Canis lupus familiaris: one gene and its partner. The protein of the gene in region 2 interacts with the protein of the main gene of each other region in a biochemical or structural test. Links are inferred from orthologs where the notes say so. Each region holds a gene or a part of one and is shown on either strand. Other genes may lie near its edges.

Region 1 (3,824 bases), on a different chromosome or scaffold from region 2:
TGAAAAAGTATATTTGCGTGCAGAGTGCTTTCTTATGCAAGATTAGTTAGCTGCTGCTGCTTTTTTAAATTCATAGTCAAGAAATTCTTTTGTGACTATGAGGCAAGTCTGTTCAGCGAGTCAGCGTGTGTACCATTTGAATTGGAAATGAACGCCAGCTAAGTCATCAGGGAAATAACCAAAAAAAGGTAGCATTTGAAAATTGGGTCTTTCATCTTGTTTTGAGTTTTTATTGACATTTTTTACCAATGCAAATTGTTTTTCAAAATTTAGGATAATTGAAAAATGTTGCTCATAAAACATCTAATACTTTCCTGCTGTGGTCAAGGCATGAGGACAAAGATCTGCCAGCCTTTTGTGTTACTTTGAACATTAAAATATATGATTGACCACTGGGTTCCTTGCATACCAACAGAATAGATTACTTTAATAATACAAGGAAGAGGAAAAGATGCATTTCAAAGGTCCTAGTAACATTCTTCCTAAACAAATACTCCTATTTTTCTAAATCAAATGAAATCTATGGGTAGGGGAGGGGAAGGAAATGGAATACATGACTTGCTGTAGACTAAAGCACTTTCTCAACTTCTCTCTGAAATCTTCAAGGACAGAGTCGACACTTGTCTCACCTGGAGACCACCTGGCTCAGCCCAGCCCAGAGCATTTCCCTTCTGGGGCACTATAGTCATCGCTACTCCCAAAATAGCTTGACTTGAAAACATCTGTGGTGATGATTATCTTGTTTTCTTAATGAGGATCTAATATTTTGATTTTAGATACTTTTGAAATTATTTTAATACAGTATTTATATTTTAAATGAGCCTGCCATCTAACTTTCATTCACTAAATGACTCGAGAAGTGTAATTAAACACAACTCATATCACATCTATTTCAATTATTGTCTTTTTTATTATCATCGAATGTGTCTCTCGGGTCATGAGAAACTGGATGTGAACATTGAGTCATCAACATAAATATATTTATGACTACTTATGTGCCGCACAGTCGTAGGTCCTTCATGTTATTGTCTAAGTTAGCTCTCACAACCACCTCGTGAGGTAGGTATTACCTCCATTTTACAGATGCAGAAACAGGATGGAAAGATCCAAGCCCCCTAGCTAATAAATGTAAGGGCCAGGATTTGAAACCAAGGGGTCTGACTCCAGAGACAGCCCTTAGATACCAAGCTATTAGAACGTTAATTAAAAACAATAATAACAAACTAACCATGCTGGCTTAGCACTAGGCCATAAACATTTGTATACATTCATTATAGCAGTTGACTGCATGAAACAAACCACACCTAGCCTTACCAATGCTTTTCTCTTTCATGGATAATACAGTGGCCACAAGGTTCCCATTTTGGGAGGTGATGGTGGAGGAAGCAGCCAAAAACAAGCATTATAATAACTCTACTAAAATACACTTGTCAGACAACTCAAAGACAACCTATGGAATGGGAGAAGATATTTGCAAATGACGTATCTGATGAAGGGTCAATATCCAAAATCTAGAAAGAATTTATTAAACTCAATACCCAAAAAACAAATAATCAAGTTAAGAATGGACAGCAGATATGAATAGACTTTTTCCAACAAAGATATACAAATGGCCAAGAGACACATGGTTAAGATGCTCGACTTCACTCATCATCAGGGAAATACAAATCAAAACTATGATGAGATACCACCTCACACCTGTCAAAATGGCTAAAATTAACAACACAGAAAACAACAGGGGTTGGTGAGGATGCCGAGAAAGGGGAACCCTCTTCTCTTACACTGTTGGTGGTAATGTAAGCTGGTGCAGCCACTTTTCATGTGTATGTGGAATTTAGGAAACAAAACAGATGAACATAAGGGGAAGGAAGGAAAAAAAAAAAAAGGGAGGCAAACCATAAGAGAGTCCTAACTATAGAAAACAGACTGAGGGTTGCTGGAGGGGAGGTGGGCGGGGGAAGGGCTAAGTGGGTGATGGGCATTGAGGGCACTTGTGATGAGCACTGGGTGTTGAGTGAGTGATCAATCACTAAATTCCATTCCTGAAACCAATATTACACTATATATAAACTAACTAGAATTTAAATGAAAAACTTGAAACAAAAAAAATACACTGGTCAGGAGATTTTTAGAGTTTGAAAATATTTCAGAAAAGGACTGTCTGGGAACTTGGTAGATGATGTTTTAAAAAGTCCTGAGACCCTCTTACAGTTGTAACGGTAAGAAACCACTTTGAATTTTCATAAAGAAGCCACACAGCTTTGAGGAGAAGGGGTAACTTTTGCTATACGTATGTTCTGGAAGAGTCTGAGACAGGAACAGTGGTCCCTCTGCCCTGCAAGTGCTGCCCTAGCTCAGCGCTAATTCAGGCCCCTGGCACGTTCAGCACAGAATCCCAGCCTCTACTTTCTACTTCTTTGAGTTTGTCTTCTGTACTGCGGCTAAGGGGACCCAACAGTATCCACATCTGTGTCGCCTGTCCGCTTCAACCCTTGTAGTGGCCCTTCTGGTGCAGGTCATGTGGCCATCATCCTTGGCCATCAGGCCTGTCTACACCGCCTGGGTCCCACCTGGGCCACGTGTGAGCTGCCTGTGATGCCCCAGCAAGCATCCTGTAGTCTCTGCCACACTGTCCTTTCCTCACCTCAAGGTCTTTCTCCTCTTGTCCCTTTCTCTGGATCACTCCCTCTGTAGCACCAACCTCAGACTCTGCGGGCTTACTTCCGCTCATTTTGAAATACTCCATTTGGGCAGCACCATTCTTCCCAGAATCCTTCCCTACTTCTTGGCTCTCCTCTTTGCCTTTTTCTCACCTGCCAGGCTGGGTTAGATGTCTTTTTAAGACCCCACAGTACACAGATCCTGTGGAGTCTACACTGTACTGACTTGATCTGTACATTTTCTTTCTAGCCTCCAGTTTCTACAGGGAGGGCTGTGTCACATTCATCTTTGGATCCCCAGAGCCAACTGCTGTCAATCCCCCCCCCCCCCCCAGGTCTGTCCTAACGGCTGTGTCCCTTTCACCGTCATTGTTGGTCTGGGCTGGCCGCACAGATGGAAAGAAGTGTGGGGTCCCGGAGGACATCATACCTTCCAGTTCCCAGCAGAGAGGTTCTGGAGAGATCCAGCAGAGCCTTCCAAGGTGGCTGGGTTGGAACTTTCTGCTAGAAGAGTCAGATACGGTTTTACCACTGATGGATGCCACAGCATCTCAACCCCCTTGGGGGACTTTGACAGTCCTGGGATAGGACCAACTCCATCCCACTGCAAGACAAAGAGCACACGTGAAATGGAAGCAAATGAACACACTACACTCTCCAATACTTGAAAACATTCCTCTCTGCTGGATTCAGCTACAGTGAGGTAGAAAAACTGTATAATGAGAAATTTTCTTTTCTTGCCAAATATGTGATTTCTTATTCCCAGAAAAATGAAACCTCAGAGTTTCATGTCAAATAAAATGCTAACTTGATCCTCCTGGGGTGTTTTCTTTTTCTTTTTCTTTTTCTTCCCCCAGCAGCTTGGCTCTGAGTCCTTGCTGGGCGACTCTTTTCCTAGCAAGTCGTCCAGCTCGCTCAGCCCCAGCAGTCGGGCCTGTGGGACCTCCAGTTCCAGCCGGTAGGACAGGTTCCTCAGGGTGCACACGCAGTTCTCCACAGTCTGAAAACCAACACAGCGTATAATTAAAACCATTGAGGCACATTACTGCAAAATGCTTCTGTACCGAGCAGCCGTGATCTTAAGTAAATGCAGAATATGAGAGAACTTTTTTTTTTTTTAAACTTATAGGAACCTGAAACAATCTAAGGAGAGGATCACGATTC
Region 2 (3,824 bases):
CATACTACCAAAAAAAAAAAAAAAACAAAAAACAAAAAAGATGGGGATCCCGGGGTGGCTCAGCGGTTTAGCGCCTGCCTTTGGCTCAGGGCGTGATCCTGGAGTCCCGGGATTGAGTCCCGCATCGGGCATCCAGCATGGGGCCTGCTTCTTCTCTGCCTGTGTCTCTGCCTCTCTATCACGAATAAATAAATAAATAAATCCTTTAAAAAAAAAAAAGCAATAACCCAACTTACTACTGTATCAGATCTAGTTTATGTGCCTTTTCAGATTTTCTTGAGCCTACATGCCTACTAGGCTTTGGCTGTGTGCTTACTGGAGAGTCCTGGCTACCACTTCTCTCACCTTGTCTCCTACCATTACCAGATCTTTTAATCTTTTCTAGGGTAAGGGCTGCACTTGGCATGACTAATGTGTTACACAGAAATGAGAGCTGTAACACGTCAAAAGCCTGTGTTCTGGTCTGTCTAGATCACTGAAGCTCTGGTTCTTTCCATCACTTCTCAGTTCAGAGGAAATGCTATACCATGGAGTATGGGAGCTGGCTTCCCTAGCATTTGCCCAGAGTAGCTGAGTAACAGTGCAGAAATTAGGGACAGTTACCATTCATGGAATAGACTCTATCTAACAAGAGATAGGGAGACAAATATTTTCTTTTCCCTGGATGGCTGGATCTAAAGTTTAATAGTGTCACATCACCTGACTGGAAGGCTGTCCTATATGTCAATTAGTGACATTTTCTTATGAAATTATAGCCAGCTCAGAAACATAATACCTTGTATTGACTTTCCCCTATTCTCTCCCTCACTTTTCATTTTCATTCACTCTAGCTTCTGAGATTACATCTCCCAATGAAACCTTAGCACGGTACCTTTTCTTCAGATGTTTTTCTAGGGAACATAGACTAGGATCATTATTGATGAAGACTGGATAAATAAACTGCAGTATAGATCTGGAGCTATATTATGTAGAGGTGAAATGAATAAATTTTTAGCTCTAGGCAACAATCTGGATAAATCTCAGTAAACCAATTCTGAGTAAAAAATAAAATTTAAAAGACTACATTCAGCACAACAGCCTTTTTTTTTTTTTTTGTTTTTTTTTCACAACAGCCTTTAAGAACATTTTCAGAACAAATTAATATTAAACAAGATATTTAGGCATAGGTATGTGATTAAACAATTTTTAAAAGCAAATGAATAAAAAACAAGTTGTTGATATTCTAGTTTTGATTTTAGCAGTCTTCATTATACTATAATTAAGTAACAAGAAAAAGAAAGTCACACACAAAGGGTGATACTGTGTTTAAACAATTCTGTGCATCCAACTCCCTAGCCCTTCAACAAAAAAGAGTAGGAAAAGGAAGGAAAAAAAAAAAAAAAGAAAGAAAAGAGAGAGAAGCTAGTAGAGGGGGAACAAAGGGGCAAATAATACCAAGAACCATTTTTCAGGTTTTGATTAAAAATTAGTGTTCATTCATTTAAATATTGTTTAAACATTTTTGGCAAGAAAAATTTCAGTTTTTCCAAAAAAAAAAAAAAAAAAGAGGAGACATGAAAATGATTTTTAAAATAACAGCTTTCTTATACTCACTGCTAAAAGTTTATCTCCAATCTGAAGTTTACCATCTTTATGTGCTGCACCTCCTTCAATTATCTTGGTTACATAGATGCTATTATCCCCAGGAATATGTTGATTTCCAACACCTCCAGCAATGCTGAACCCAAGACCTGTTTGGAAAATACTAGTTTTGAAATTTCATCATTTAAAGTATTTTTAAGTCCAGAAATGGTTGAAAACTAGAAGGTGACAGTCTTATCACACTCATGTTTTTTGGTTTTTTTTTTTAAATACAGACGAATCTATTTGTCTACTTTTTTTTTTTAAAGTAGCCTCCACCCCCAGCATGGGGCCCAGAGGGGGGACTTGAACTTAAAACCCTGAGATCGAGACCTGAGCTGAGATCAAGGGTTGGATGCTCAAGTGACTGAGTCACCCAAGCACACCTATTTGCCTATTTTTTAAGTCTTACGTGTTTACTTTGTAGTCATTGAACAATTTTTTATATAGATGTTCCTACAGTTAGAAATAAGTTCTGTCCTCTCTGCCCAGGTTACTTCTTAAGGTCTGTTTGTAAATGCGTTTGTTAGTTCAAAGAGGCATTACAAAATTATGTTTCAATTTTGTTCCCATCATGATTGTGTTTCTAACACTTTTAATACCTTCATAAGAGTAAAACAATTGAGAAAAATAATAAAATTTTTTGGTAGTAGGCAGAACTAATAGGCTTCACAATGTGGATAATTTTGTTCCTTTTCCAATATTCTATGAATTACTTTTATTTTTTTAAAGATTCACTTATTTATTTTAGAAAGAGAGAAAGTACACATGAGTCAGAGGGATGGGGGGTGGGGGAGGAAAGGGAGAGTATGAGAGGGTCTTAAGCAGCCTCTGTGTGGAGCCTAGAACTTTTTTTGAGCCTAGAGCTTTAAGCCTAGAGTTTGACATGCATGATCACATGACCCTGAAGTCAGGGCCTGAGCTGAAACTAAGAGTTGGAGACTTAACAGACTACCACTCAAGCGCCCCTCTGAATTTTTTAAAGAATTTCTGTAATTCATAAATTCCATAGCTTCAATACTAGACAAATTTGTAGCTTTCTATTCTTTTTTTCATTTGTTGGAATACTACTTCTTCCATAAAGTTACAAATTAGAATAAGTAATTATCCTCAATTCCATCAATGTTTTCAAAACTCAGAAATCAAGTATTAACTGTCCCCATTACAGATGAGGCTAATGACATACTCATAATTACTTCTTTCTTTTAACTTAGCCCGTGTATCTGCATTTAATACATTTTGTAGATTGATGATTACAAGTTAATAGCAACAGTATACATAAGTTCCAAGTGCTAAATAGAATTCTACCTAAGACAAAAATCAGCAGAAATTAAAGAGAAATTCTAAAAATCCACACAAGTTCTGTAGATTACTAGTACTGTTAATCTTAGAATGTGTGTCACTAGTAACTTGATAGTTACATTTATCTCAGTAATTTCTTACTTGATAATCTGTCTTGGTTTCACTATTCCATACCTTTAGGGCCTTTAATAAGCTTTATTTCCATTATTTTTTCTGATACTGGTTTCCGTCTTTTTACATACAAGCGTACGATAGACCCTGCTTCTTTCAATGCTTCAACTGCTTTGCTATGTGTCACATCACGAACATCTACTTCATTTACTCGCAATATACAGTCATTGACCCTGAGAAGAAACCCAAAATATTAAAAATAAAAATTAAATATTAAAATATAAAACTTACACATTGACAATTTTTTGTCATTTTCATTTTTAAAGTAGAGAATTATTTACTATAGAAAATATATACAAAAAAAATATATACAAAGAAACTTCAGGTTAAATTCCACCGTATCAAATAGTCATATAAATAATAAATACAAATATTTCCTGAGGGCCAACCAAATAAACAGTGCAGATAACAGATTACCACACAATAATATTAAATAATAATGATAGCTGTAATTTGTATGGTTCTTGTATGCTAATTATGTGTAAGCATTAAGATAATTACAAAAATAGCAAATATTTATTTAGCACTAACCACATGCCAAGCACTTCTTTGTGTTTTATTATTTTTTTTATTTTTTATTTTTTTAGTGTTTTAACCCTTACGACAACCTGGAGAAAGTAAGGCACAAAGAGTTTAGAATTTTCCTAAGGTCACCCAGATAATGACTGATAGAGCTGTGACTCACAGAAAAGAAAACTGAGGTTCAGATTGAGCAATAAGTTTAAGGTCAC

What was found.
Region 1: the proteins of DLG1 (region 2) and PKP4 interact in a test that uses a peptide from one of them, tested with the Homo sapiens proteins (2 studies listed by IntAct, with this or other methods). The link is inferred for Canis lupus familiaris from reciprocal best matches to the Homo sapiens genes DLG1 and PKP4.

Annotation. Positions count from the first base shown.
Region 1 is NC_049257.1:4,782,643-4,786,466, reverse strand, and holds part of PKP4 (plakophilin-4), read right to left. Parts: intron 3,661-3,824; coding exon 3,469-3,660; intron 3,265-3,468; coding exon 3,091-3,264; intron 1-3,090. UniProt on the Homo sapiens protein: Plays a role as a regulator of Rho activity during cytokinesis. May play a role in junctional plaques.
Region 2 is NC_049254.1:30,810,803-30,814,626, forward strand, and holds part of DLG1 (disks large homolog 1), read right to left. Parts: intron 3,267-3,824; coding exon 3,097-3,266; intron 1,731-3,096; coding exon 1,594-1,730; intron 1-1,593. UniProt on the Homo sapiens protein: Essential multidomain scaffolding protein required for normal development. Recruits channels, receptors and signaling molecules to discrete plasma membrane domains in polarized cells.